Linked DNA regions of Elephas maximus indicus. The protein of the gene in region 1 binds, or shares a complex with, the protein of each later gene. Links are inferred from orthologs where the notes say so. Each region holds a gene or a part of one and is shown in the gene's direction. Other genes may lie near its edges. The genes, in order: MAP3K5, DAB2IP and ARHGEF6.

What was found.
Region 2: MAP3K5 (region 1) and DAB2IP share a complex: the UniProt entries of both Homo sapiens proteins name them as parts of the cytoplasmic complex. The link is inferred for Elephas maximus indicus from reciprocal best matches to the Homo sapiens genes MAP3K5 and DAB2IP.
Region 3: MAP3K5 (region 1) and ARHGEF6 share a complex: the UniProt entries of both Homo sapiens proteins name them as parts of the cytoplasmic complex. The link is inferred for Elephas maximus indicus from reciprocal best matches to the Homo sapiens genes MAP3K5 and ARHGEF6.

What each region holds. Positions count from the first base shown.
Region 1 is NC_064819.1:206,446,754-206,457,468, reverse strand, and holds the start of MAP3K5 (mitogen-activated protein kinase kinase kinase 5), read left to right. Parts: upstream 1-5,917; 5' UTR 5,918-6,349; coding exon 6,350-6,797; intron 6,798-10,715. UniProt on the Homo sapiens protein: Serine/threonine kinase which acts as an essential component of the MAP kinase signal transduction pathway. Plays an important role in the cascades of cellular responses evoked by changes in the environment.
Region 2 is NC_064827.1:71,756,441-71,766,673, forward strand, and holds the start of DAB2IP (disabled homolog 2-interacting protein), read left to right. Parts: upstream 1-5,788; 5' UTR 5,789-6,466; coding exon 6,467-6,590; intron 6,591-10,233. UniProt on the Homo sapiens protein: Functions as a scaffold protein implicated in the regulation of a large spectrum of both general and specialized signaling pathways.
Region 3 is NC_064846.1:19,037,189-19,047,523, forward strand, and holds the start of ARHGEF6 (rho guanine nucleotide exchange factor 6), read left to right. Parts: upstream 1-6,342; 5' UTR 6,343-6,429; intron 6,430-9,554; exon of another isoform or gene 9,555-9,555; 5' UTR 9,556-9,817; coding exon 9,818-9,982; intron 9,983-10,335. UniProt on the Homo sapiens protein: Acts as a RAC1 guanine nucleotide exchange factor (GEF).

The sequences.
Region 1 (10,715 bases):
AATTCAAGATGGGTTTATTTACAAAAAGACTAATTACAAAGGTGTGGGAAGAGCATAGAGGAGCTTCAAGGGATGGTGCAGCAACTGGGGGCTAGCAGCTGAAGAGCTGTCACCATTTCTAGGTCCCAAAAGACAAGGTGAGGGACTGTAGGGTCTACCACCTTGAGAAGAAAAATGACCTGTTGGAAACCCATCAAGGGAGAAAGAAATGCCCTGTCCCCAAACTTAAATCTCTTGCCTGGGCCCCCTAATTACCAAACCCAACTGGTAGACAGAAGATAAAGGAGCCCACTGACTTAATCCATGCCGATTACCTCTTGAGGCAGAAAGTACAATGGCTGTGAGTAGAGAGTAGATCTGGAGATGAAAGCCCAGGCAGAGGTAGCAAAGTCAGGACTTGAATTCATCGTCTGGCTCCTATCCCACCATACTAATATGCATTCAAATGTTTCATTATATGCACAGCTCTTACATTTGTAGAAGTAATTTGTGGCCCAGGGTGATTTTACCTTCCTCTAATGAATTTTGTTTGCTGAATTCATGGGATTATCTTGATCCAATTTCAAGGTTTGAGGTTTTTTTTTTTTTTCTCCTCAGATGCCTGGAAGCATGGTTGCTGTCCATGTAATTTGACTTCTTGTTCACCCCTTTCCTAGGTTTAACACTCTTATGTTGGTTCTTGTTGTTGTTGTTAGGTGCCGTCGTTAGCGACCCTATGTACAACAGAACAAAACACTGCCCGGTCCTGCGCCATCGTTATAATCGTTGTTATGTTTGAGCTCAGCCACTGTTGCAGCCACCGTGTCAATCCACCTCGTTGAGGGTCTTCCTCTTTTCCGCTGACCCTGTACTTTGCCTAGCATGATGTCCTTCTCCAGAAACTGATCCCTCCTGACAACACGTCCAAAGTATGTAAGATGCAGTCTCACCATCCTTGCTTCTAAGGAGCATTCTGATTGTACTTCTTCTAAGACAGATTTGTTTGTTCTTTGGGCAGTCCATGGTATATTCAATATTCTTTGCCAACACCACAATTCAAAGAGGTCAATTCTTCTTTGGCCTTCCTTATTCCTTGTCCAGCTTTCACATGCATATGATGCGATTGAAAATACCATGGCTTGGGTCAGGTGCACCTTAGTCTTCAAGGTGACATCTTTGCTCTTCAACACTTTAAAGAGGTCCTTTGCAGCAGATTTACCCAATGCAATGCATCTTTTGATTTCTTGACTGCTGCTTCCCTCGGTGTTGATTGTGGATCCAAGTAAAATGAAATCCTTGAGAACTTCAATCTTTTCTGTGTTTATCATGATGTCGTTCATTGGTCCAGTTGTGAGGATTTTTGTTTTCTTTATGTTGAGGTGTATTCCATACTGAAGGCTGTGGTCTTTGATCTTTATTAGTACTTCAAGTCCTTTTCACTTTCAGCAAGCAAGGTTGTGTCATCGGCATAACACAGGTTGTTCATGAGTCTTCCCCCAATCCTGATGTCCCGTTCTTCTTCATATAGTCCAGATTCTTGGATTATTTGCTCAGCATACACATTGAATAGGTATGGTGAAAGGATACAACCCTGATGCACATCTTTCCTGACTTTAAACCAATCGGTATCCCCTTGTTCTGTCCGAACAACTGCCTCTTGATCTATGTAAAGGTTCCTCATGAGCACAATTCAGTGTTCTGGAATTGACACTCTTCACAATGTTATCCATAATTTGTTATGATCCATACAGTTGAATGCCTTTGCATAGTTAATAAAACACAGGTAAACATCCTACTGGTATTCTCTACTTTCAGCCAGGATCCATCTGACATCAGCAATGATCTTCCTGGGTCCACGTCCTCTTCTGAAACCGGCCTGAACTTCTGGCAGTTCTCTGTCAATATACTGCTGCAGCCATTTTTGAATGATCTTCAGCAAAATTTTGCTTGTGTGTGACATTAATAATATCGTTCTATAATTTCCACATTTGGTTGGATCACCTTTCTTGGGAATAGGCATAAATATGGCTCTCTTCCAGTCAGTTGGCCAGGAAGCTATCGTCCATATTTCTTGGCATAGATGAGTGAGCACCTCCAGCGCTGCATCTGTTTGTTGAAACATCTCAATTGATATTCCATCAATTCCTGGAGCCTTGTTTTTCACCAATGCCTTCAGAGCAGCTTAGACTTCTTCCTTCAGTACAATCAGTTCCTGATCATATGCTACCTCTTGAAATGGTTGAACACTGACTAATTCTTTTTGGTATAATGACTAAGACAGACTAGAAAGAAGGACCTGGCAGTCTACTTCTGAAAAGCATTAGCCAGTGAAAACCTTATGAATAGCAGTGGAACATTGTCTGATATAGTGCTGGAAAATGAGCCTCCCCAGGTTGGAAGGCACTCAAAAGATGACTGGGGAATAGCTGCCTCCTCAAAGTAGAGTCGACCTTAATGACGTGGATGGAGTCAAGCTTTCAGGACCTTTATTTGCTGATGTGGCACGACTCAAAATGAGAAGAAACAGCTGCAAACATCCATTAACAATCAGAACCTGGAATGTATGAAGTATGAATCTAGGAAAAGTGGAAATCATCAAAAATTAAACGGAACGCATAAAGATTGATAACCTAGGCATTAGTGAGCTGAAATGGACTGGTATTGGCCATTTTGAATCAGACAATCACATAGTCTACTATGCTGGGAATGACAACTTGAAGAGGAATGGTGTTGCATTCATTATTAAAAAGAACATTTCAAGATCTATCCTGAAGTATAACACTGTCAGTGATAGGATAATATCCGTACACCTACAAGGAAGATCAGTTAATACGACTATTATTCAAATTTACACACCAACCACTGGGCCCAAAGATGAAGAAATAGAAGATTTTTATCAGCTTCTGCAGTCTGAAATTGATCAAACATGCAATCAAGATGCATTGATAATTACTGGTGGTTGGAATGAGAAAGTTGGAAACGAAGGGTCAGTAGTTAGAAAACATGGCCTTGGTGATAGAAACAATGCTGGAGATCGAATGATAGAATTTTGCAAGACCAACGACTTCTTCATTGCAAATACCTTCTTTCACCAACATAAACGGCGACTATACACATGGACCTCGCCAGATGAAACACACAGAAATCAAATTGACTACATCTGTGGAAAGAGACAATGGAAAAGCTCAATATCATCAGTCAGAACAAGGCCAGGGGCCAACTGTGGAACAGAACACCAATTGCTCATATGCAAGTTCAAGCTGAGGCTGAAGAAAATCAGAGCAAGTTCACGAGAGCCAAAATATGACCTTGAGTATATCTCACTTGAATTTAGAGACCATCTGAACAATAGATTTGATGCATTGAACACTAGTGACCAAAGACCAGACGAGTTGTGGAATGACATCAAGGACATCATACATGAAGAAAGCAAGAGGTCATTGAAAACACAGGAAAGACAGAAAAGACCAAGATGGATGTCAGAGGAGACTTTGAAACTTGCTCTTGAGCGTCGAGCAGCTAAAGCAAAAGGAAGAATTGATGAAGTAAAAGAACTGAACAGAAGATTTCAAAGGGTGGCTTGAGAAGACAAAGTAAAGTAGTATAATGACATGTGCAAAGAGCTGGAGATGGAAAACCAAAAGGGAAGAACATGCTCGGCGTTTCTCAAGCTGAAAGAATTGAAGAAAAAATTCAAGCCTCGAGTTGCAATAGTGAAGGAGTCTATGGGGGAAATATTAAATGACGCATGAAGCATGCCAAGAGGATGGAAGGAATACGGAGTCATTATACCAAAACAAAAACAAAAACTGTTCTTCTAGATGTTGTAAAAAATGCACTTTAGCCTCTCAGCAGCCTAATCCAGATCCACAAAAATACCCAAGCCAAAAGCAGCCTCGAAGGAAGGCTCACTCTCTGGATTCCTGTTGTGACCCTAATACTCCCCAGCATGTTTTCTCCTTTTCAAAATGGCCGACTGAGAGCTTGACAGATCTAAAGCCTTAAGAACCTCTAGGTTTTTCTTCTTCCTCTGCCTGTCTCCTCCTTCGCATACCTTTGCTAATGACTTTGTTTTGACCTAATGCTAACGACTTTGTTCTTTGTTTTAATCTGATGCAGATAAGTTTGTTTTGTTCTGTCCACCTGTGATTTACAATTCCCTACAGGAAAATCAGAGCCCAGGTGTCTGACGTGTTTATCTTTAGCCTGATAAAGAGATGTCTGGCATGTATCTCTTGAGTCTGATAGTCTCTTGTCACTATCTTGTAATGAATAACTCCTCCAGCCAGGCCATCTTCGGGCTACAAAGACACTTCTAACCCTTGTAAAGTTCTATATTAAGCTCTAATGTAAAATTACTCTTTGGGACTCCATAGAGACAACCTGTGTTGCTGCTGGGCCCCCACGATGTATACATCTCTTGAATAAACTTTCTCACTCTTTTTGACTTTCATTGTCTTGACTGCTCCAGGGCACGGACCCTAATCAGGCAACGCTGTCCTCTTTTCCAGAATCTGGCCAGGTATTTCCTCATTAATACCATTATCTCTTTGGTGCCTTTATGCATGTATTTACAATTTTTTTCAGCTTTCTTACTGTTCTTTAGTCAGAGGGTTGATCAGAATGATCTAATCTGTCATAATCAGTAGCAGAAATCTCTTTCATATTTCTTCAGTCTTATATGATGAAAATGTGTTGCTCTACCCGTAGGTGTTCTCAAAGGTGTCCCAAAGTTCATCTCCAAATATAAGTGGGATGGACTCTGAGTGAGAACATAATTATGGCCAGAAAATTCCAGTTCTGCTGATATTATAATTCTATCATTTATCGAGTGTGATTGAATCCTTGTCAAAAGCTTCTAGAAATGCCTATTTGTAGTAGGGCCTAAGGGATACATTGCCTCTCTGTTTCCTTGGATTCCTTTTTTCCCCCCAAACAGAATGCCAAATTACATGTTTTCATTGAGAAATACAATCTCTCAGAATCTACGAGCTGCTCCTTGGAAACCCTATGGGGCAGTTGTACCCTGCCATATAGGGTCACTATTGGTCAGAACTGACTGGATGCCAAAGCATGGGTTTTTAAAATGAGAACGCTAAATTGTTCAGCAGTTGGAGCTAACCAACTGATAATAACAAGCACAAGCTTTGGAACTTTTAAAATGAAGAGTACCAGGGACAGATCCTGATACTTTTAGTTTGCCACTCCTAGAGCGCCACTGTCACAAATAAACCACCCTCCAGTTTAGGCTCTTGGTTCCAGGGCGTTAGTTGAGATCTTCAGGCCTTATGCAACGCGGGGATCCCGGGGCCATTGGGCCCTTGCCCTGACCACGCGGCACGCGGCCCTGGTAAACGCTGAGGAGCGCGCCCGGCAGGGGCCGGCAGGGGGCGCGGTGGCTGCGGGGAACGCTGCCATTACCTCCCGGACTGGCTCGGAAGACCCAAGAATTCGCCAGAGAGACTTTTTTGCTCCATCCTGCAGTTGCTTGGGCTCCGGGTTTTGTCTACTCCAGCTCTTCTCAGGTAGAGGCCCAGTTGGTGACGGCAGAAAAGCTTGGCTGCGCGTCGCGCCGGGAAAGGGCTGAGGTCCGGGAGCGCGGCACGGTCGGTTCCGTCCCGGCTGGAATCTCCCAGCAGCGCCCTTCCCCCGGGCCGCCTTGCCTCTCCGTACCGCGACTAGTGGGCGGCAAGAAGGAAGTGGGTGGCCGAGAAGGCGTGCGGCTGCAAGGAAAGAAGCGATTCCAGTGGCGAGGCTGTGCTGGATACAGCGGCCGCAGCGATCCGAAGAGAAACGAGGACGTGGGGAGGAGGAGGAATTAGGGCCGATGAAGAGGAGCTACCACCGAGGAGAGAGGCGGATTCTTCCGGCTGCAGCTGCCGTGGTTCCCGGACGCAGCCCCGGGGGCCTGCCTGCCCGTAAGGCGCTAGCCAGGTAGCTGTGCTCCCCGAGGGCCCCCGCCCTCGCTCCTCCCCGCGCTTGGGACGGAAAGAGTGGGGCCGCGCTGCAGGCGTCTGGGCGCACTGAGCCCGAGCGCGGCGCCCGAGAGCCGCACGGCGGCTCAGGTCGGCGAGCCAAGAAGAGGAAGCGTTGTCCCTTCGCGCCCTGCTCAGCGTCCCCACCCCTTGCACTCTCAACCTTGCAGCCGGCGAACAACGCGGCCACGGAGGCGCCGAGGAGGAGCGAGCCGCCGCCGGGCAGCGGCGTGCCCCCGGGGGAGAGGGCGCCCGAGAGGAAGCGGCGGCGCGGCGGGGAAGGCGCGGCTCGCGATGGCAGCTGCTTAGCCGGGCGGGCGCGGAGCAGCCCCGAGCTGTGGCTGGCCAGACGGGGTGGCGGGGCGGGGGACGCCGCCGCCGCCTCGCCGGGAGCGATGAGCACGGAGGCGGGCGAGGGCATCACTTTCTCCGTCCCCTCTTTCGGCCCTTTGGGCTTCTGCACCTTCGCCGAGGGCGGCAGCTGCCGGAGGGGAGGAGCGGCGGCGACTGTGGAGGGTGAGGAGAACCAGCAGCCACCGCCGCCACCCGGTAGTTTCTGGAACGTTGAGAGCGCCGCCGGCCCTGGTACCGGCTGTCCCGCTGCCAGCTCCGGGGGCAGTGCCACTCGGAGCCGGGGCAACTCTGGCAGCGGGGGCGGCCGACGGACCACCGTGGCGTATGTGATCAATGAAGCGAGCCAGGGGCAGCTGGTGGTGGCCGAGAGTGAAGCCCTGCAGAGCCTGCGGGAGGCGTGCGAGGCTGTGGGCGCCGCGCTGGAGACCCTGCATTTTGGTAAACTGGACTTTGGGGAGACCACGGTGCTGGACCGCTTTTACAATGCAGGTGCGTGTGTAACCCCTTCCCATTCTTTGCGGCCCGTGGCCACGTGTTCCCTTGTCGCCCTTTGGATTTTCCCCCCTAGGCAGGAGGCGCGCTTGGTACTCATTCACTTCTTGCCTCACCTTGGGGGTGACGAGGGGCGCCGCGTGACCCTCCTCTTGGCGCTCGCAGCTGCTGGAAGAGAGTATATGTGATTGTGCAAGAGACTGTGTGCGTTTGTGCGAGAGACTGACTGACCCAGCCAGCGCCGGGCGCTGAGCTCTGCGGTCCGCGTCGTCCAGGAGAACTTCAGTTCTTCAAAAGTATTGGAAAATTGCCCCAGTCAGCTTTTCTCCATTCAGGGTCTCGGTTTCACTTGTTTGATTGGACCCATGTTTTCCTTCTACGTATACCTATGACCTCTTTAGATGACGCCTACTCGTTTTCTCTCTGTACTTTTGGGAGTACAGAAATGATGAGTTATGCCACGCGGCCGGCTGCATGCAGAGTGTATTTATACAGATTTGCCTGTCATGTCATGACCTTCCCAACTCATTTTACCTTCAACGAGTTTTAGTCCTTTGAATTTCCCATCCCTTACCAAATTGAACTGTCAAGTAATTACTTCCAAAAGTGATAACCTTGTAACTTAAACTAAACTGGTGTGATATCTTTGTTAGGATTATCGGTGGAAGAACCAGGGTCTGTTTTTTATTGCCCCATATACGTTTTTTTACGCTGGAAGGTTTATAATTTAACATTGTTGAGAATGCTGATAGGCTATCTTGATAACTAAGATTAGATTGTCCATTAAAGTGATTGCTAGCATAATCCATGAAAAAAATGTATTTCTTCAACCTGTTCCAGATTTCAGAAAATGTTATGCAATTCTGGTGACTGAAGCAATCAATTATCTGTTAGCTACAAAGAGTTTGGAGGTTTTTTTTGGTTAGGAAATGTTAGGCATAATAACATGTTATTGAAATTAATCTTTAGCACCCTTTACAATCACTGTTGAGAATATATAAATATTTTTATAATTGTAGGTGGAAAACATGATTTAATTCTGGTTTTGAAAGAGCAAGTTTCTTGCATTTTTGCTTGCATGAATGTTTTTATTTTCCAATCTTATTTTCAGTTCTGATTCTATTCAGTCTCTTCAAAACACCTGAAGAAGGCTTATGCCAACTATGGAATTCAGCCAATGCTGAATATTTTAAGAACAAGAAGAACTTTACGTAAGGAAGCCAGACTAAATAAACGAGGACTTTCTGGATCTGGTCTTTTTACGGTCTTGGTCTTCCCAACTGAACATGAGTGTAATATATTATAGCTTGTATTTTTGGGTGGCTTGCTATAAAAGTTACATAAACATAACTTTTCTAAAAATTATAGCACTCTTATTTTTGGATTATAACTTGGAAGATATGAAGAAAGCGTCAAAGAACTGAAAGATGTGGGAGAAAAGCTCCCAGCTATGTACTTGAGCCTATTTTTATTGCACTGATAGCTTTTTTTTTTTTTTTAAGGCCCTTACAATAAATCTTAAACCCAATGGTGATTTGAAAGAAAGTTTCCTAACAAGGCTCACTTAGTGTTTATTCTCCAAATACTGCCCCTGGGAAAGGGAGAGAGGAAGATTAGGAGGGACCTGATATTTGAACTGTATTTTATTTAATCCTCCAAATAAGCCTGTGAAGGAAGTACTTGTTATGCTTCTTAGGTGGGAAAACTGAGGGATACATAAGCAGCCCTAGGTCACATAAGAGCCCTGGTGGTGCAGTGATTAAGCACTCGGCCACTAACCAAAGGGTCAGCATTTTGAACCCATCAGCTGCGGCAGAAAGATGTAGCAATCTGTTTCTGTAAAGATTACAGCCTTGAAAACCCTATAGGGCAGTTCTACTCTGTTCCGTAGGGCTGCTGTGAGTCAGAGCCGACCCTGTGCCCATGGGGTTTAGGTCACGTAGGTAGTACGTGGTCAGAGCAGGTTCCATTGCAGGTGGAAGACCCTGAAAGATCACGGGTGGGTCATGTTCCCTCCATCAGATGGGCTCAACTTAGAATTAAGGGAAACTACAAAATTGACTTGATGGCAGCGGGTTTGGTTTTTTTGGTTTACCCACATGGAATCGTGTGACGGAGAGCTGGCAGGACCTTTAGAGCCACTGAGGTGCAATGTGGAATAAGGGGGAGGGCACTCTCTGGGGGAGACCCATGTTCCCAGGTCTCCTCTGTCCCACTGCTTTGTTTAACCTGGGCAGGCCCCATTTCAACCCCTGCCTACCTGGGTGATATAAACTCTGTACCCTTCTGCTCAGCATGAAGATGTGACAGTATAACGTTAGCAGTTTCATCCAAACCCTTTGTTTTTCTAAACCGAGGGCTGGAGAGTTTGATAGCAGTAAAACTTGCCTTCTGTCTTCTAAGAGAAGCCTTGTTCGTCTCTACCAGGGGTGTGCAAACTTTATCTGTCAAAAACCAGACAGTAAATATTTTAGATTTTGCTCTCCATAAGGTGTCCCTCCCAACTACTCAACTCTTCCAAAGTAAGAGTAGCCATGAGTAGTACGCAAACAAATGATCATGGCTATGTGCCAATAAAATTTTACTTACGGACATTGAAATATAAATTTCATATAATTCTCGTGTGTGACAAAATATGACTCTTCTTTTGATTTTTTCCCCCAACCATTTAAAAATGTAAAAGCCATGCTTAGTTTGCAGGCCATGGAAAATTAGGTGGCCTACTGGATTTGGCCCGTGGGCCATGTTGACCTTTTCTCTGCAACTACTACCTCCCACTTGAAAGACAAATCATTATGATATAGTGGGAAATCACATCTCTTCAAGTAAGTCCTGGTTCTGTCATCAGCCACCCAGTTTTGAACAAGGCCCTTCATCGTCTACAAATGGAGGTTCTTTGCCTATAAAATCGACCAGGGTGAAGGTAGATGGGGAATTGAACTGATTTATAAGATTCCCTTGTATATTCCCGTGAATTTACAAAGTAAAGGCAGCATGGTGTGCTGGGACAGAGTGTCGGAGTAGGAGTTTCAAGGTCTGAATTTTGGCCCTGGTCCTTCTCTAATTTGGAGCAAGTCATTTAAAATCTTAGAAAATAGTGGAGGTTTGGGTTAATTGGTATCTGAGGTTCCATCTAGTTCTCAAATACTGTACTTTAAAATCACAACGTTGTTAATATAAATGAATCATTTCACTCCATAGATACTGGTGAACTGCTTGTATATGTCATGTTTCCTGCCCTGGAAGAGCTCACAGTCAGTGGGGAGGGTAGATTCAGTGCAGAATATAGTAGTGTCATTGTGAGGGTCCATACAGAGTGGGTTGGACTCCTGGTCCATTTAGAGTAAGATTGAGGATATGGTGGAGTTTGAGGGTGGCTTCCCAAAGAAGGTGACACCTGAACTGTACTAGAAAGGCAAGCAAGGATGACTTGACCAGGGCTTCACATTTAGAAGGAAAACGATGGTGTTAAAATAGCTCAACTTACTGTAATGATTAAGAATTTAAGGCTTGGTTACATTTTTTATAAACTTAGCGTATCTTTAGAGACCTGGTGATGCAGTGGTTAAGAGCTTGGGTGCTGATCAAAAGGTCAGCAGTTCAAATCCACCAGCCGCTCCTTGGAAATCCTATGGGGGAGCTCTACTCTGTCCTATAGGGTCTATGAGTTGTAATCCACTCAATGGCAGTGGGTTTATGGATTACCCTATCTTTGTATAAACCAAAAACAAACAAACAAACCCATTGCTGTTAAGTCAGTTCCGACCCAGTGACCCTAAGGACAGCGTAGAAATGCCCCCATAGGGTTTCCAAGGCTGTAATCTTTACATGGAGCAGCTGGTGGGTTTGAACCACTGACCTTTCATTTAGCAGCTGAGTACTTAACCACTGCACCACCAAGGCACCTCTTATCTT
Region 2 (10,233 bases), on another chromosome or scaffold:
GCTAGCCTGGCGTGGTAGGCCAGGGTGCCTGTGGGTGGCCAAGCAGGCATCAGGCATTGTGGGAGGCATGGTCCAGACAACTGAAGGGAAAAAGGGGTTTTGACAGCTGTATTTAAGTTCCAAAGTGGAGCACCAACCTGAGGCCAGACCCCATATGTGATCTCTTACAAGTCTTACTCCCTCCCAGGGCCTCAGTTTCCCCATATGACTGCTATGCTGGAGTGGGAGGGGCAATGAGACCCTCAGTGATTGAGGAATTGGTGCTGGATCCTGCTAGTGATAGATTAAGCAGGGTCCTTGGGCAAGTTCTCAGGCCTCAGCTTCCCCGGTTCTCTCACTGACTCTAAAGCTTCCTTTCAGCTCTAACATTCCAGGATTTTAGGACAGGCTGTTATCACATATGAGGGAGATATGTCCTCTTCTCTGGACCTCTGGAGGACAGGAGTGACACGCAGGTGGTGGTCTTGGGGCTGGAAGATATTTCTAGGTGCTGACAGTATCCCAGGAAGATGGGCCAGGCAGAACTGTCTCATAGCTGCTTAGCATGTTTCAGAAACCTGAGGCCCAGAGATGTCAAGGGGCTTTCTTTGGGTCACATAGTATGACATCCTCCCTCCCCTCCCCAGCTGGCCTTCAACCTTAGAGCCCTGACCTCTTCATCGGGCTTGTCCCTCGGGCCCAGCTTTGGATGACTTGATTTAAAAAGCACTTGTACCCCGGAGGCCTTGGGCTCGTGGCCTCTGTGTATTCAAATGTCTACCCTTGATGGGTCCCCAGTTCTGTCTATGTTGGGAGGGACAGAGCCATCTAACCCCACATGTTCTCAGCCCTGACCAGACCACTTTCTGCAAAGGGTGGGAGTTCGGGGTCGGGGGGAGGGAGGGGAGGGTCAAGGCAAAGGATGCCTGGCAGGGCCTCCAGTGGTGAGTGAGACCCCGCAGGACTTGTCTGTGTCTCCTGCTTCACAGAGTGCGCCCTGGCTCCAACCTCCCCCAGCTCCCCGATGAAAATCCAGCTCCTGGTCCAGCCTTGTTCCCGGACGAACGGTGGACACAGGAAGCTGTCACTGCCGGCCAGACGAGCCACCTCCCAAGGCAGAGGCCATGACCTTAACCACGAGTGCCCCCTCACCTCTCCATCCTACCCACACCCCTGTGCAGGGGTCCAGCAACTGACTCAAGAATTGAGACTGGCCTGGGAGGTGATTGTGTTCAGGGCTGTCTAGCTGGGGGCTGCCCCTGGTCACCACCTCCTGCACTGTCCCGACAGGAAACCTGACAGGTCTGAGCCTTCCAGACACCCATTGTGTGGGGCCTGGTGAGGGCTCTGATGCTTCCCCTGTTGGGGGGGACTTCCGCCCCTCAATCTAGGCCTCCTCCTGTCCCTTGTCAAAGCTTGCTTTTAAAGAAAGTTCCAGGCTATTACACAGCCCCTCCCCCCACCCTCCAGTTTGTGTTTCATGAAGTCCTGGTCAACCTTATGACCTTTGCTTTTGCCATCCCTTCTGGGTTCAAATCCTGGCTCCTTCTTGAGGTAAGCCCTCTGGCCTTACTTACCCTTTCTCTTATATTTTCTGTAAAATAGGGTGGGTAACTGTCTGCCTCATAGGGTCATTGAGAAATTGAGTGCAATAAAGTGTGAAGAATGCTGAGGATAGCATTTGGCTCACAGTAAATGCTCAGTACATCTCAGCTACCATTATTATTACCAAACTTCACCCTCGAATGAACCTTTTGAGGTCAAACTTGTAGCCCTCCTCTGTTGGGGAGGTCTTGGTTTCTATGGTTCCCTCCAGCATGAGCATTGTTCTTCCCTGGATTGTCATTGTTAGCAGCCGTCGAGTTGGTTCTCCAACACGAGGCATAATGGAATGAAACGCTGCCTGGTCCTGCAGCATCTCCATGATGAGTTGCAGATTGGACCGTTGTGATCCATAGGGTTTTCATTGGTTGATTTTTGATAGTAGATGGCCAGGCCTTTCTTCCTAGTCTGAGTCTGGAAGCTTCCCTGAAACTTGTTCAGCATCATAGTAGCACAAAAGCCTCTACATGCGGTGGCTGCACATGAGGTGCCATGGTCAGGAATCAAACCTGGGTCTCCCACATTGAAGGTGAGAATTCTACCACTGAACCACCACTGCCCCATCCTCCCTGGGTAGGGTCTAGCATTTAAAGATAACCAACCCGTTGTTGTTTTCCTCCCATACAAAATGTTTTCTTCAGTGCAAACCAGGCCTTTTTGCTTTGTGCTCAGGTGAATAAATGGATAATCTGTCTTAACACTGGAAACACTGGTGGTGTAGTGGTTAAGTGCTATGGCTGCTACCCAAGAGGTCGGCAGTTCGAATCTGCCAGGCGCTCCTTGGAAACTCTATGGGGCAGTTCTACTGTGTCCTGTAGGGTCGCTATGAGTCGGAATCGACTTGATGGCAGTGGGTTTGGTTTGGTGTTTTTGGTCTTAACACTGGAGGAAAAACTGTCCTCTGTGGGCCATCTAAGGTTTTTCATGGGTAATTCTGATGATATGCTTCTTTTTCTCTTTCTGCACTGACTTTAAACCTAACACCTCCTAGTAAGATGGCTGCACTGGGCTGGCCTGGCAGCCCTCCTTCCCTGCATTTGGATGCCTCTCCTAACCTGGAGCCCTGGCCTGGCCCATGGTTTACCTGGACTGTCAGCCCAGCTCCCATGCTGCCCACTACTCTCAACCTTTAGGATACCTGGATGCTGATTGTTCTCTGCCTGGAGGGCAATTCTTTGGATCCATTCTTCCTGGGCTTCCCTGTGGCCTCTTAGTATCCCTATTATTCAAGGTATGGCAGGAGTACGGAGGAGGGTCTGTCATTGGGACTCGGGGTAGACTTAATCTTTAAGGAGGTGATATTTGAGCTGGGTCCTGAGGGATAAGGAGGAGTTTGCTAGGTGGGTGCTGAAGGAAGAGCTTCATGGCTAAGGCCAGAACTGGGAAGGAGAAGGAACGCATGCAGTGCCTCTGGAAGGTCTGAGGCAGATACATCAGGGTTGCTGGAGTGGGAAGGGGTGCGAAGGGAGGCAGCTCTTTTGTGATGGAGCTTCGTTCTTTTTGGTGCTCTGGGCATCCTCCTTTTCCGGAAAAGGATGAAAGTAGGAGTTAGTGGCAGTAGGGTTGGGTCAGGTCTGATTTAGCCAGTTCCCTGCCCGGCACTTAGGAAGCATGCAGATTTCCTGGCCCCATCCAGACCCACTGAATCAAGCATCAGGGGAGAAACCCAGAAATATGTATGCTTAAAGAGCCAGGGGTGATTGGGAGGCTCAGCGGTGTAGAAACCATGGAGGCCTTGACCTCACCCAAAGCAGCACATGAAGGTGGAAGCCAGGCCTCTTCTGGAGCCCTTCTGGAGGCAAGACAGAGGTGGGCGGGTGGGGGTGGGGCAGGACTACTGGCCAGACTGTTAACCCTGGAGGGTCTGAGGCTCACAGATCAGCAGGGCAGGGATGCTAATTCTGTCTAGGGCAGTCACAGAGGGCTTCTCCTTAAGCGGAGTGTGTCACAGGAAGCAATGAGATGGGGAGGGAGGGATATTTTCTGAGACACCTTCCTCAGTCCAGGCGGTCTCTGGAAGTGGGGGTTGCTACTCTGTTTGGAGGGAGAAAGCCACAGGGGCAGTGAGTGGGGGACTGTTGGAGGGGGTGGGTGAGTTGTGCCTCTGCAGCAGGATTGATCCCAGATGCTCTGCTGGGGCTTGCAGGGAGCAGCCTTTGTCTGCCTGTCTGCCCCCAGAGGTCCTGGGCCAGGGGGAGGGGCAGGGAGCCCAGGACTTCTCCTCACTCCTATCTTGCCTTTCTACTTTGTACCCCAACCCCAGCCCCAGTGCCTGACAGGAGGCCTGTGGAGGTGATTGGCTCTTGCTTGGGATGATTGACATTGCCTGTTCCCACTCCAAGGCCAGGCGGCTTCCTATTCATTATCTGACCTTCCTCCCTCCACAGGTAGATCGATTGGGGACACGTAATTTCTCCTCGCGGGAAAGGAAACTGAGGCACAGAGAGGGACCTGAGGAGCCCAAGCATAAGCTGGGAGACCGTGTTTATAGACTGAGGTCCAGAGTTCCTGGCTACTTCCCTCTTCCCTCCACATACCTAAGACTATGTGCTGGGAGCCCCAGGCCGAGATCACTTGCTCCTGCTACTGACCAGAGTGTGTTGGCAGTGAGCCTCCCATCTCCTCAACAGGAGGCTAAAACCTGGCTGATCAGGGGATTCCTGCTTTGGGAGGAAAACTGGGCCAGATGAACCCTGGAAGCAGGGTTGTTGTCCGCACATTGGGAGCCCTCCACTCCCCCAAACTGGTGGGTCCAGCTAGGGAGGTTATTTATTACTGGATGTGCCAAGGCATGAGTGGGTGGGTTCTGGTGGCCCTGCCAGAAGAGAATGCATGCTACCATGGGCCCACGACTGAGGGACTGAGGTGCTGAGGGACTGGGTGCGAGCTCTTCCCAGGGGCATTGCCCTTTGAAAGAGGCTCCTGGGCAATGTCTAATGTTGAAAATAACGTAGAGCAGTGCTTAATCCAAAGCGGGCTAATGGTGTCCTAGATGGCTATGTGGTCTTCCATCTTCTCCTGGGACTGGCCAGTAGTCTGGCTGTCTTTGCCCTTTTTGTTGGGATAGCTTTGGACTCCCCAGACTAGGTCTGGAGGAGCAATACCCCTGCTACCCCTCCCCCTTGGTCCTGGGAAGGCGCCTGGCTTCCAGCTGTGATCCAGGCTTCTGCTGACCTGGGGGCCCTCCCCCCTGGTTGAGGGAGGGAGGGAGGGGGCTCCCCCTGTGAGGTGCAAAACCCGGCCTGGATTCTTGCCCAGACTGCCTGCTATCTCCAGGGCCCCAACTTTTCAGCAGTTCAGAAGGTGGACCCCCAGACTGCCTCAGGCACCCACACATGACCCTCCCCGCACACACACCTAAGACGGCATATAGGGGATCCCATGCTAAGAGCACTTGCCTCTGCCACACCACTGTTTTTCTGTTGACTGGGGCAAGTCGGACTTCCCTGTCAGGGCCTCGGTTTCCCTTCTGTGCTTGAGGAAATAGAACTCAGGCAGATGATTGCCTGATGGTTTAAAGAATAAATTCCGAAGCAGGGGTAGGGGAGAGTAGGGAATAAGAGGAGAAAGAGAGAGATCCTTGAGGGCCTGGATGGTCAGGGAAGGCTAGAGGAAGTGTGCTGTAAAGGATGGACTTTGGCTAATCAAAGAAACGTACATGGGAGGCAGTTGGGGCTGGGAGTAAAGCAAAGAGAAGTGAGAAGGAGCAGGGGAACCGTGGAAGTGAGGCTGGAGGGCAGTTTGGCTGGGGCCTGAGTGTTGAAGCCCCAAAGACAAGGGAAGAATGCATGGGCTTGTTGGCACTGGGCTTTGGGCAGCCATGGAAGGTTCTTGAGCTGGGAAGTGAGTGACTTGGTGAAAGTTTTTCAGCCCGTTGCAATTGAGAGAGTTGGAACGCTCCCTTTTCCCAGCCTCAGTTTCCCCTCTCTACAGCAGGGTAAGAATTGTTCTCCCTGTCCCCCTCCCTCACTGCCCCAGGCCTGCCAGAGTAGGTGTAAATGTCCAGAGGGATGCAGACTTTGCAGTATCTGTGGTTTTTATTTATGGATGTGGGGGGGGGGGTCGGGGGGGTAGGGTGTCTAAATCAAAGGGGGCAAAATGTTCAGATTTGGCAAAGTCTGCTGGTTGCACGGGTGTTGGTTATGTACTCTCCACTTTTTGTGTGCTTGAAATATACACCACAATTTTGATTATATAAAAAATAATGTGTATCAAATGGGACAATCCTTAAAACGTAAAGAATAGGCATGTATTCTGCCTGAAAGCAGAGTGTTTCAACCCAGCTGGGGCTAGACCCGATGGGTTCGATTCTCAGCCTGGTGAACTTGGGGCAAAACTGGGTAGTCCCCTTCATTCGGACTCTAATTGACCTTGACTGTTTCCCTGGACCTCGGTTTCCGCGTAGCGTAGCTGCCTGGAGGCCTTGCATGTGTCCTGCCCTGTGTCCCGGATCGCGCACACGCGGGAGCGCACCATCTACACCCGCCGCTGGGATGGGGCGCCCCGTGCGCCCTGGGATCGGGCTTTGAGTCCTCAGGCGCTGGGAGACGGGGGAGGCCCTCCTGCTTCCCTACGTGGAGGCCTGGGGTTCCGGGGGTTCTCCGGCCCGCCTCGCCCCTTAGAGTCCAGGCCGGGATTTCCCCAGCACTGACTTTCCGGGCCGGTGCCAGTCCGGCCTCCTGGTCCCCAGCCCCCGCCGCGGGGCCGGCTGCTTTGGGGAGGAGGAGGAGTTTGAGCGACTTTGTGGGGCAGCCTTGGCCTCGGCGACGGCGGCCGCACCAACGAGCGCGGGAGAAGGCAGGGACGCCCGCCGGGCGGTCCGGAGCGGGCGATGGGGCCCGTGTGAGCGCGCCCAGCCCCGGCCCGGTGCCCGGCGGGCGGCAGCATGTCCGCGGGCGGCAGCGCCAGGAAGAGCACCGGGAGGCCCTCCTACTACTATCGGCTGCTGAGGCGGCCCCGGCTGCAGCGACAGAGGAGCCGCTCCCGCAGCCGGACCCGTCCTGCCAGGGGTAGGCGCGACCCCCACTCCTGACCCCCAGACCCTTTCCACCACCGCTTCATCACCTGATGCCCCGGGATGCCAGGGACCCAAGATCCTCCTGCTAGCCACTTACGGGGGAGCCCTTCATCCGCCTCTCCTGGTGCCCACTAGTCCGTCTGCGGGACCCCCATTACCTCCAGCTTCTCCCTCATGTGCACCCTCTTGTGTCTTTAGTGTTTTCCCTGTGCCATAGGCAAGGAGATGGGAGATTGGAAGCCAGGGTTCTCCTCCTTTGACCTCTCAGATCAGACCTCCTGCCCCACTGTGCCTCAGTTTACCCGGCAGGAGGGCATTAAGTGATCCAGGATGGACCCTGGCTTACCCTTGCCTCACCTCCACTGCCCTGGCCTCCCAGCTTCGCCAATCCTGCACTTCTTCCCTTTCCAAGGACTTAACTGACTCCCCTCTTGGGAGGGACAGGTGAGGGATCCTATCCCAGGGATCCTTGGCTTTGAAGGAGCCAGAAGCTGAGTGGGTGGGTGGGCCTTACCTCCTTTGAAGTTTCCCTTCTTCAAGCCCTGGAAGCAGGGGAGAGGGGGAGGTGCAGGCAGCATTTTCTTTTTCCAGTAACTGGATCCTCAGCTGGAAATGAGTGTGATCCAGGGGGCTGCCTTCAGGGCTGGGTGGGGGCCAGGACTTCCTTTCCTGGCTGGGTGGGAGGAAGGGAGAGAGGTCCGCTGGAGAGGCCAGAGTCCTGGGCAAAGGCTCAGGCCCTCCTGAAGGTGCCAACAGAGCCAGGGGTGGAGCTGAGGCAGCAGCACTCATAGGGACCTGGGTTGCTTTTTTACCACCTGCTTGTCAGAGGAAGCTGGGAAGGCTGGCCCTGTGCCTGCCCAGACGGGGTTTGAGCAAATGCTGTCATGGAGTCTGCAGATCAGGGTCTAACCTCTCCAAGTGCTGGTTGTATGACCTGGACCTGTAACATTGCCCTTCAGCATCACTAAATGTTAGTTTTGCTTCCCCGCAGAATGGGGAAGACTTTTCCCATAGTTGGGGCTGAGCAATGACGTACAGGGCTTCCTCAGGAAGTAGTGAATTCTCTGTATGGAGAGATTCAAGCTGAGTCTAAGGGTGTGCACAGGTGTGGACCAGAGTTCAAGCCTCGAGGTTCTCTCGAGGCCCATGGTTCCCCAGTCCTTGTCTTCCCTGAAGTGGCCTCTGGCTACCTCCCACCCCCTCAGTCTTGGCCCTGGAGACCAGAGATCTGCATTCAAGCACAAGCCAGTGTGACTTTGGACAAGTCACTTCCCCTTTCAGAGCCTCAGTTTCCTCCACTGTAATATGAGTGTGGCAGTACTGGGACGATTTGGTGAAGAAACAGGTGCATACTGTGCCAAGCAGGATTTGTACAAATGTCCAATAATGCTCAGGCCACCCTGGGGCCTCTCCTACACCCACCCCAACCTGCCCCTCTCCTCACCTTGGAAATGCCTTGTGTAACCTTTCCCTTAACTTTTCACCTCAGTCCAGTTTCCTCCCTGGCTGCCAAGGCACGGAGAGGAACAAGAGCTCTCCTCTCAACCAGTTCTGCTGGCTGGGAAGGGGACAATCCATGTGTTGGCCTTCCCCTGAGCCCCAGCTCCCAGGCCCCACAGGTATAGGAGCCCTGCTTTGTGCCCCACGCCTTGAAGGAGCTCACAGCCTGCTGGGGGTAAGGAGGAGACTGTCAATGAGCAGAAGTTACAACTGAGAAATCAGGGAGAGCTTCACAGAGGAGGTGACATTTGGATGGGATCTTACAAAATAGATAGGATTTCCTTTGGCCCAGGGAGTGGTTGAGTCAGAATTGGGTTCAATTCCAGCTCTGCACATAACTATCTTTAGGCCGGTTACCTCACCAAGCCTCAGTGATCTCTGCTGGTAAATGGTAAATGGGATAAAGACGGCAGAGTTCTAAGAATGGGAGTAGGAATGCATGGAAAGCTGGAAGCCTGTGTTCGGGGCTTGGGCCACAGGCGTGTGACCTATTGTCATTTCTCTGGGCAGAAGGAACAGCTCCTGCAAAGACAGGAAGATGGAAAATGCCTTGGGCATTGTGGACAGAGCTCTTCCTGGGGGAGGGGTAGAGGGTGGGCTGGGGAGGGGGAAGAGCAGGGAACAGAGCTTGGGGCCTGACTGAGTGAGGGGAGTCCTGGGGGGTGGTGAGAGCTGCTTGGGAGGGGCACTTAGGCAGGGCATGAGTTGGAGGCTAGAGGCCCCCTGTCCTCCTGGGTGAGAGGCTGCTGGAGCAGGCACTGACCTCCCTCCACTACACCTCCAGAGTCCTGACTCCACCTCAGGGCTGCCTTCTCACTACTCCTCCTGAGGGCAGTGCTCTCACCCAGGTGGTAACTCCTGCTGGGGAGGCCAGCGCCTGGCTTTAAGCCAGTCCCTTCCCACCTCAGGCCTCAGTCTCCCCATCTGTGTGGCGGGTTGGCTCTGTGGGTATGACCTTAGACCACGGAGGAGGGAGTGGTACCTAGCACCCTGCCCAGGTCAGGCCCTTGCTCCACACCTGTTCTGGTCTCTGTACTAGCCAGGAGGGAAAAATGACTGAGACTCTGGGGAGGGGAATTTTCAGAAACAGGAAAATGCAGGGAAGAGTAGGCAGGTGGCGGGACCTGCGGCTGGCCAGGCTGGGTACAGGGTTGTGGCCTGGATGCTGCCTCTGAGCAGGCTACCTACCATACCTGCCCACCACTGGACTGTCACTGTCGAGTGGTGGGGAGGGTGCTCACTGGAGATTTGAGAGCAGGACCTTGCCCCAGGCAGGGCTGCCAGTGAGGGACAGCATCTGCAGCTGCACAGGTTTGACCAGCTTGGGGCACTAAACAAGGCACTTCCTCTCTCTGGGCCTGGGTTTTCCCATCTGGAGAATGGGCAGAGTGAGACCTGCTGCTGGGGGCACGAAGCTTGATGATGGCCAGAGACAGGGTGTTAACAGTGACCTTTGGATGGCAAAGGTCATCTGGCTGTGCCATATGGTGCCTTGTGACCTTGGAGTGTGCCCGAAGGTTGCACATGGTCCTGGATTTGAGAGGTGTCCTATCCCCAGAGGGTGTTACCAACCAGGGTGCCTTCTTACCTTTCCCCATCGTAATCAAGGAAGGACTCGTCTGTCTGACTTGTCTCACCCCCTAGGGCTTCTGGGGGAAACATAAGTATTCCTCTAGCCCTGAATAAAACTATGGCCCATTTACTCGCCAGCAAAGATATCATGAGCATCTACTATGGCTGGGCTCCAGCCTGGCCGCCAGGGCCCAGATAGGGATGCACGTGGTCCTAGCCCTCTCTGGTAACCCAGTCAGATGGGGAGACCAGCTGATTGGGGTGCACTGGGGCACGGGGGGATGGAGCCGTGATTAGTGGTAGACAGGGGCTTGAGTCCAGCTGGCCATAGCCTCAGTTTCCCCACCTGTCAAATGGGACTGTACCTGCCCTGCTGCCTCACTGATGTCTGGAAACCTCTTGGAATGGTAGCAAGCCCACACCCAGGGGCAGCTTTCATTCTTTTAAGTTTTCATCCATCTGAGTGTTTCCAGGAGTCTAGCCACGTGCCAGGCTCTAACTGGGCACTGGGGACTTGGCTACCTCCCAAGATCATTAGGTTTTCTTCTATGTCCGGTGTCCCC
Region 3 (10,335 bases), on another chromosome or scaffold:
CAGTCACTCCCCATTTCCCTCCCCTACCTCCAGCCTGAGTCAGCCACTGTTTTACTTTCTGTCTCTACTGATTTACCTATTCTGAATATTTCATATAAATGGAATCTTATAGTACGTGGTCTTTTGTGACTGAATTCTTAGCATAATGCTTTCGAGGTGCATCCATGTTGGAGCACGTATGAGTACTTAATTCCTTTTTATTGCCAAATAATATTTCATTGTATGGATGCAACACATTTTATTTATCTGTTCATCAGTTAATGGATATCTGGGTTGTAGAAATGTTTTGGCTATTATGAATAATGCTGCTATGAACATTTGTGTAAAAGTTTTTGTGTGGACATATGTTTTCATTTCTCTTGGAGTGGAGTTGCTGGGCCATATGGTAACTCTATGTTGAACACTTTGAAGACTTGCCAGACTGATTTTTACAGTGGCAGCACTATTTTGCATTCCCACCAGCAACGTCTGAGGGTTTCAGTTTCACCAAATTCTCACCAACCCTTGTTTTTACCTGTCTTTTTTCATTTTAGCCATCCTGGTGGGTGTGAGATGGTATCTCATTGTGGTTTTGATTTGCATTTCCATGATGATTAATGATGTTGCATATCTTTTCAAGTATGCATTGGCCATTTATATATATTTTTTCTTTGGAGAAATGTCTATTGAGATCTTTGCCCTTTAAAATTGAGTTATTTGGGGTTTTTGTTTTTATCATTGGGTTGTAAAAGTTCTTATGTATCCTAGATACATGTCCCTTCTAGGTATATCATTTGAAAATATTTTATCCTGTTCTGTGGGTTTTCTCATTTTCTTGAAGGTGTCCCTTGAAATGCAAGAGTTTTTTAATTTTAATGAAGACCAATTTGTTTTTTTTTTTTTTCTTTTGTTGTTTGTGCTTTTGGTGTTATGTCTGAGAAACCATTGCCTTATTCCAGGTGATGTAAGCAGTCATTTTGAACTGAGATGTCATGCTAAAAACCACAAAGTAGCAGGAGAGTAGAATGCTGGGTATCTGATGACCATGAAGCTACCATGCTAGCCTCGCGCAGCCAATTTTTGGATTTATTTTACATAAGAATAAGATAAATTATTTAATTAAAAAAACAACAACTTTTCTTCATTAAAACACACTGAAGGATGAAAAAACAAAGGTGGAAGATATTTACAAACACATATAACTAAGAAAGGTTTAGTGTCCATAATGTATACCAAACTTTTATAAATCAACAACAAAAGACAAAGAGTTCAGTAGAAAAATGGGCACTAATTATGAACAAGTATTTCACAGAAGAGGAAATATATATGGCCAATAAACAAATGAACAGGTGTTCAACCTTATTAATAATCATAGAAATGTAAATTTCACACCCTGCTTGTGAGAGTGTAAATTTGTATAATTTTGGTAATGGTTTTAGCAGTCCATATGAGGTCAAGGAATAGTTGTACTAGTAAGCTGGAAAGGTGGTAAATGATGGTTAGAGAGTGGAATAATCGATTGAATTCGTGATTTAGGAGGCAGAGAATTTTGTGTCCTGACCAAGTCCAAGGTGTGACCTTGTAAGTGGGTGGCTGAAGTGGAGAGAAAGAGTTCATTGAAAATTATGAGGTATATCAGTCTGGGTCCAACCAGGAGGGAGAAACCACACAGTAATTTTAACAGGGAAAGTTTAACATAAAAGAATTATTAACTATAACAGGAGATTGGAGTAATGAGGGATTGGCTAATAAGAAGTAAAGAGAACCCTAAAAAATAAGAGAATAGAAGATATGACATATAATAGTAGACATAATATAAAAATAATACATAATAACCACCACCTCTAGAGCTAAGATAGAGGCCCCCCCCCACTACCAGGAGCCCCCCCCCACCACCACCACTACCAGGGACAGATTACCCAGTATACAAGGTAAGCATGTGCTTAGGGCATCAACAAAACAGGAGCACCAGTTATCCAAAGCAAAAACCCATAGACGCAGAGCAGACAGAACACAAGGAAAAGTGAGCACACAACAATGATTCGGGAAAGACTTGACTCATTATCCTTACTATGTATGGAAGTAGGTATTGTCTGGCAGCTTGATTATGATGAAATCACTGAAGAATTTGTAAGAACAAAGAATAGAAAGAAATGTTTTCGGTTATAACATATTAAAAAAAAAATTTTTAATCTATCTAAAAATAAAATACAGTAATTTGTTGTAATATTTGTTTTCTGATCCTTAAGTTTTCTTTTTTTAATTGTGCTTTAGGTGAAAGTTTAGAGAGCAAATCAGTTTCTTATTAAAAAATCAATACACAAATTGTTTTGTGACGTTGGTTGCCAATCCCATGACGTATCTAACACTCTCACTTTCACCACCCAGGTTCCTTGTTTCTATTCGTCCAGTTTTCCTGTCCCTTCCTGCCCTCTCATCCTTGCTTTTGGGCTGGTGTGCCCATTTAGTCTTGTATACATGATTGAACTATGAAGCACGGTTCTCACATGTGTTATTGTTTGCCCCATAGGCCTGTCTAATCTTTGGCTGAAGGGCAAGCCTCAGGAGTGACTTCAGTACTGAGTTAAAAGGGTGTCTGGGGCCATACTCTTGGGGTTTCTCCAGTTTCTGTCAGACCAGTAAGTCTGGTTTTTTTTTGTGTGTGTGTGAATTCAAATTTTGTTCTACATTTTTCTCCAGCTCTGTCTGGGACCCTCTATTTTGATCCCTATTAGCGAAGTTGGTGGTGGTAGCCAGGCACCATCTAATTGTTCTTGGCTCAGTCTGGTGGAGTATGTGGTATTTGTGGCCCATTAGTCCTTTGGTCTAATCTTTCCCTTGTGTCTTTGATTTTCTTCATTCTCCTTGCTCCAGCCGGGATGTGACCACTAGATGTATCTTAGATGGCCTCTCGCAGGCTTTTAGGATCCCAGACGCTACTGAGCAAAGTAGAATGTAGGATGTTTTCTTTATAGACTATGTCATGCCAATTGAGCTAGATGTCCCCTGAGACTGTGGTCACCAGCCCTCAGCCCAGTAACTAAGTCCCTTAGGGAGTTTGGATATGTCTGTGAAGCTTCTGTGACTTTGGCTTGGTTACATTGCACAGACTTCCCCAGCATCGTGTACTGTCTTACCCTTCACAAAAGTTACCAGTTATCTACCTAGTTAAGGTCCCCCACCCCCACCTTGTAACCATTCAAAGGTTTCTTTCTGTGTGGAAACTTTTTCATGAGTTTTTATAATAGTGGTCTCATACAATATTTGACCTTTTATGATTGACTTATTTCACTCAGCATAATACCCTCCAGATTCAACCATGTTGTGAGATGTTTCACAGATTCATCATTGTTCTTTGTTGTTGCATCGTATTCCATCGTGTGTATGTACTACAGTTTGTTTATCCAATCATCTGTTGATTGGCACTTAGGTTGTTTCTATCTTTATGCTATTGTGGATAATGCTGTAGTGAACATGGGTGTGCATATGTCTAGTCGTGTGATGGCTCTTATTTCTCTAGGATATATTCCTAGGAGTGGGATTGCTGGGTCATGTGGTATTTCTATTTCTAGCTTTTTAAGGAAGCACCATATCATTTTCCAAAATGGTTGTACCGTTTTGCATTCCCACCAGCAGTGCATAAGAGTTCCAATCTCCCCATAGCCTCTCCGACATTTGTTATTTTCTGTTTTTTTGATTCATGCCAGTAATTGCAGGATGAGACGGTATCTCATTGTAGTTTTGATTTGCATTTCTCTAATGGCTAATGGTTGTGAGCATTTCCTCATGTATCTGCTAGCTGCCTGAATGTCTTCTTTGGTGGAGTGTCTGTTCATATCCTTTGCCCATTTTTCAATTGGGTTATTTGTCTTTTTGTTGTAGAGGTGTTGGATTTTCCTGTAAATTTTAGAGATTAGACCTTTGTTGAATTTGTCACAGCCAAATTTTTTTTTTTTCTGTCTCTAGGTTCTCTTTTTACACTTTTGGTGAAGTCTTTTGATGATCAAATGAAAAACCAAACCCACCGCCATCAAGTTGATTCCAACTCATAGCGACCCTATAGGACAGAGTAGAACTGCCCGATAGATTTTCGAAGGAGTGCCTGGCGGATTCGAACTACCGACCTCTGGGTTAGCAGCCGTAGCACTTAGCCACTACGTCACCAGCATTTCCTTTTGATGAGCATATGTGTTTAATTTTTTAGAAAGTCCAGTTTTCTTTTATGACTTCTTTTCATTTATAACATTTCTTATGAAACAAACATCGAAATTGAAGTATGAGAGGTTTAAAGCAAAATCGGTTAAAGTTATTGTTTTGTTGTGGGAGATCAACAGAATTTTACCTTGATTGTTGAGACCACTAAGTTCACTGACTCATTTTCTTTGTTGTAGAATATGTGGAATGTTCTTTTTGTGGAAAATGTGGTATATAGTAAAAATCTGAGTACCCTGCACCCACTAAAAATTTTATAATCCAGTCATTCCACTAAAATGGCACAAGCCACTTTTGCATTCAATTGCTAATATTATGGTCACATTTAAAAAGAAGTTACATCATGGTTAGCTAAGACACACACACACATACATATATGTATCGAACTCATGTATCCTGTTTGAATGTGTGAGTAAGCAGAGGAAGGGGCACCACAGGTTATCAGTGTTTAGGGTCCTTACATGCCTTGATCCATCCCTGCCCACTACGCACACTCCTAGGGCTGAGATCCAGACCTTTTTAGAGAAGTTGCTGTGGTGCGGAGCTGGTGGAACTTAGTAGACATCTGATCTCTGGAACTTGCTGAAAATGTGCGCTCTAGGGTGCTGGCTTCCTGTTAACAGGGGAGGTGTCTCACTAGAGGCACTCTACTACAAAACCACCCAAGGCTGGTGCCAGGGGAAGCTCCTGCTTACTGTGCATTGGGGAGGCCAATGTTGCAAAAGGCAGGCCCTAAGAAAGCTGGGAGTTCTGCAGAAGCCTGTGGAATGAGCATACAGGAAACAGGAAGTAAAGCCCCTTCTTCTTGCACTCTCTCTCCACCGCTGTCTACTGATAAAACTTCACATCAAAGTAAAGTAAAAGTAAAAAATATTGAAGGGCCCCAGGCTCGTTTTCACAGTGCAGGCAAAAAGGGGGAGTCGAATCAATTACTACTACAGGAGGTCGAGGAACTAATGGTTATGACATTGAATCGTTTTCTTGCGGATATTGAATTAACCCAGGTGTTGACAGAAGTTAAGGTGGAGTCGAAGGTCAAGTGGAGTGCTTTAATAATATGGATTCCCGTTTCCCATGGCAGACCGTCTGAATTAGAACGTCTGAGAATAGGGCTCAGAAATCTTCTTTTTAACAAGTGCTCTAATAGATTTAAAATAAAAATAATTAATTATGACTATTTCAAACATGTAAAAGAAAATAGTACAACAGACACCACTGTACCCAGCATACAACTTTAACAAATGTTAGCATTTGGCTTATTTCCTGCAGAACTCCTTTTTTTCCCCCTTGTAGTAAACTGGTATCTATTTTGGCTCAAGGAGTCTCTGGGTAGAGCAAATGGTTAAGCACTGGGCTACTAACTGAAAAGTTGTTGGTTCAAACCCACCCAGAGGTGCTTTGTAAGAAAGGCCTGGTGATCTACTTCTGAAAGATCACGGCTTTGAAAACTCTATGGAGTGGAGTTCTACCCTGAAACGCATTGGGTCACCACGAGTTAGAATGGACTCCAAAGTAAGTAGTGGTGGTAGATTTTGTCTCAGGTTCCATCTTCTCATTCCGTTCTTCTCCCTCCCTCATTAGAAGTGATCATTATGAACACTCTTTTTTAAAAATTTATTTTATTCTTTGTTGTTAATATACACAGCAGAACATACACCAATTTCTACATGTACAGTTCAGTGACATTGATTACATTCTTCAAGTTATGGAACCCCTCTTACCCTTGTTTTCTAAATTGTTCCTTCCCCATTAAGATAAACTCACTGCCCCCAAGTTTTTTAATCAACTCTTTTGAGTTGCTGTTGTCAATTTGATCCCACGTAATTGGTGCTTTAAAAGAGCACAATGCTCAAGGCAGACATTTTTTACTAGTTAAGTTAAAACTTGTTTGGTTTAAAGAAGACTTCAGAGGATATTTTTGGTTTGAGGTTTAAAGGTTATCTCAGGGAAATAGTTTGGGGGGTTCGCACACCTCAATGGCTCCAGAAAGTCTAGATTCCATGAGAATTTGAAATTCTGATGAACATTCTTTTTTGAATACCACTGCCTTAGGCAATGGAGAGCCTTCGAGGGTATTTGAGCAGGGGTAACACGCACTGCACTATTGAAGAAGTGTTTCTGGAACATCTAACTGCGCTCTTCCAGAGACTTCGTTAGGGAGAGAGAATGGAGGTGAAGAAGCCGGTGAGAAAGCAGATTCAGTGGCCCAGGGTGTATGTACTAAGGATCTGAAGTAAGGTGAGAGACCTTTGCTCCTTTTACTCACACTCTGTCTGAAAATTGTTCTTAGTAGACATTGTGACCTCCAGTCTTTCACCCTCTCCCCATTCTCCCAGTTCACCAGCTCCTTTCCATCTTCACTTGCTTCCTTACCTAGCCTGGACTCCATGGTTAGTCATTTCCCTTATATACTTGCTATTGCTGTTGCTGTTAGTTGCTGTTGTGTGGATTTTGACTCATGGCAACCCCATGTGTGCGGAGGAGAACTACTCCATAGGGCTTTCAAGGCTGTGACCTTCCAGAAGCAGATTGCCATGCCTGTCTTCCTAGATACTTCTGGGTGGATTCAAAGCGCCAACTTTTGGCTGGTAGTCCGGTGCTTAACTGTTTGTGCAACCCAGGGACTCCTCAGAATTACTTGCTTTCTTGAGATTTTACCATACCATTCTAATCTCCAATCTTTATACTATAGAGCTCTTTCTTCTGCCTTGAGGAGGTGGCCTTACCTTTCTAATTTATTGTAATCTATATAGTGTCCACAATGAGGGCTTCTCAGATTATTTGCTCAGTACACAGATTGAATAGGTATGGTGAGAGGACTCAACCCTGACACACACCTTTCCTGACTTTAAACCAATCAGTATCCCCTTGTTCTGTCCGAACAACTGCCTCTTGATCTATGTAAAGGTTCCTCTTGAGCACAGTTAAGTGCTCTGGAATTCCCATTCTTCTCAATGTTATCCATAATTTGTTATGATCCACACAGTCGAATGCCTTTGCATAGTCAATAAAACACTGGTAAACATCTTTCTTTATTCTTTGCTTTCGGCCAGGATCCATCTGACATCAGCAATGATATCCCTGGTTCCACGTCCTCTTCTAAATCCAGCTTGAATTTCTGGTGGTTCCCTGTCGATATACTGCTGCAGCCATTTTTGAATGATCTTCAGCAAAATTTTGCTTGCGTGTGATATTAATGATGTTGTTTGATAATTTCCACATTCGGTTGGATTACCTTTCTTTGGAATAGGCATAAATATGGATCTCTTCCAGTCTGTTGGCCAGGTAGCTGTCCTCCAAATTTCTTGGCATAGATGAGTGAGCATCTCCAGTGCTGCATCCGTTTGTTGAAACATCTCAATCAGCATGGAAAAATGTCTGGTTTAAGCCATTAAAAACAAACAATCATTATAGTCATGTAGCGTCTATACAGGGACACCATACAAGTACATTCATCAGTCAGCAGTTTTGAACATCTACTGTGTACCAGACACTGTGCTGGGAACACAGCAGTAAACAAGACAGATGAGATCCCTACTCGAGGGAGCTTGTGTTCTGGTGGGGGAGATAGATCAATAAGCAATAACATAAATAAAGTGGCGTAAGTGTCGTGACAGAACAAGAAGAGACAGCCTTGAAAGTATTTAGCAGAGTGATTTAAGCTAATTATTTGGTAGTAGGTGCCTGAACCTCTGTTGAGAAGGATTGTGAAGCTTAGCAGGAAAGAGCTAGATTGGCTGGCAGTGTCTGCCCATGCATGAAGTAAAGGGGTAGTGGTGCATTTACCCACATACCTATTGCCATTGAGTTGATTCTGACTCATACCTACCCTACAGGACAGAGTAGAACTGCCCCATAGAGTTTCGGAGGAGTGGCTGGTGGATTTGAACTGCTGACCTTTTTGGTTAGCAGCCTGAGCGATTAACCGCTTTTTTTATTAAAGGTTGATCTTATGATAAATTTCCCAATAGTGTGACTATTTCAGCTGGTTCTGAAAATATTTGAGGATAATGAAGATCTTTTCTTACAGACTAACTTTTTTTTTCCCCAGAGAATTTTGTTTTTAATCAAGTAACTTTCCTTTATTTCCTAATAATAGTTATGACAAATAACCTTAAAGACATACTGTAAGGGATGTTACTTGCCATTTTATAGCTTAAAGTGTGTTTAGATGCCATCCCCTGGTGGTTTTGAAGGGTGTTTTTTTTTTTTTAAGAATGTTAAAATGTTTTATATACCTGTTGCCATCAAGTTGATTCCAAGTCATGGAAACTTCACGTGTTACAGAGCAGAACTGTTCCATAGGGTTTTTTTTTTTTAATTTTTATTGTGCCTTAAGTGAAAGTTTACAAATCAAGTCAGTCTCTCGTGCAAAACGTTATATATACCTTGCTATATACTCCTAATTACTCGCCCCCTAATGAGACAGCACACTCCTTCCCTCCACTCTCTATTTTCGTGTCCATTCGGCCAGCTTCTGACCGCCTCTGCTCTCTCATCTCCCCTCCAGACTGGAGATGCCAACATAGTCTCAGAGAGCATTTTTAATGCGAAGTGTTTCTTGTTGGGAAAACATCAGCCTCCCTGACCGTAGTGTAGACAGTGTGAACAAGTGCTCTTTTGTTCTCAGATGTTCTGTTTTCAAGTGTATTTTACTCTCTCATGAGACTGTGTCTGAGCCTTTGCTAAGGGTACTACAGCTGGATTGCGTGGTGGAACCAGGTCCAGAAAAAGAATTGCTAAAGAATGCAAGTAAACAGGATGTCAGATGTTATCCTTAGCCCATTTCCCTAAACATAGCTTTTTGGCTGCAAAGTAAAATGCCATTCTTCTAAGCTTCTGCTTATACACAGAGATGGCTGACAGCAGGCACAATCTTCATTCACTTGGCACGTTGTCACTGTACAATTCAACGTGTTTTGCAAGAAATGATCATGACACACCATCTCTGTTAGATAGTATGATGACATCCAGCCTTTTCTTGGAGGAAGAATTTTCTTAGCCTTACCTTCTTCAAGCCCTGTTGTGCCAGCACAGCTCCCCACGAGGTTCAGACCTGTCTGACCTAAGAGCCAGTTGGCATTCTCCTCCTGACAGAAGCCAGATTTTCACTGGGACTAGACTATTTATTGACAGCATTTTCCCAGACTGGCCCATGGGTGTCTCCTTTCCAAGGTCCCCTGAAGGGCTGGCTCACCTCTGTTTTCCAAGAGCACTTGTTTCCTACTCTCTGCTCCCTCCCCAGCATCTTCCTCACTTCCTTCCCTTACAGCTTCATGCACTGGTTTTTTTTTTTTTTTCCCCCTCTTTGGGGGTGTGACCGTGTGTTCTTCTTTTTTTAATCCTAGCCAATGTGTTTTGTAGGTTTTGAAAAAGGAAACCAGTGCTGTCCAGGATTGCCACATTCATTCTCTTTCCTCATCTTTGAGTGTGATCTCCGTGGTTTGAAAATCCCATATTTTGAGTGGGTTCCCCTGTCGGTCTAAGGAAAGTTGTTTTAAACCTTTGCTTTGCACGCACCAGAAGAGAACTCATAAAAAGGAAGACAACAGCAGATGCAATCGCGGATGTGGCTTAGTCCTTGCAGCTGCCCCGGAGAGCTGTGTGGAGCTTACAGTCCTCAGCAATGAATCCAGAAGAGAGAATCGTGACATGGCTTATCTCTCTGGGAGTTTTAGATTCTCCCAAAAAGACCATCTGTGATCCGGAGGAGTTCTTGAAGTCCTCGCTGAAAAATGGGGTAGTGCTGTGTAAACTTATCAACAGACTTGTTCCTGGCTCTGTGGAAAAGGTAAGGTAGACTTGCCTATCTTTGGGATTGCTTACCACCAGAGAGCAGCAATAGTGCAACTCTTGGAATTTTCTATCGCCCAGGTTGTGGGATCTTTTACTTTAATATCTTTCTAAGGGTTAGATATTCTTTCTTACTGTGTGTGTAGTCAGAAAAAATCAGAAAACAAAATCTTGTCCTGTAGTAATTGGACCCCAAATGTTGGTATAGTAAAAATCTTTCCACCGCTGGCAACAGGGGACAAGAAGACACCCATATCACAAGCTTGCTCTGTCACAGAACTGCACGCTACACCTTCCTGTGTACCGAAGACATGTTTTGAATTTGGGGACATATGAGTCTGTGGAATAATG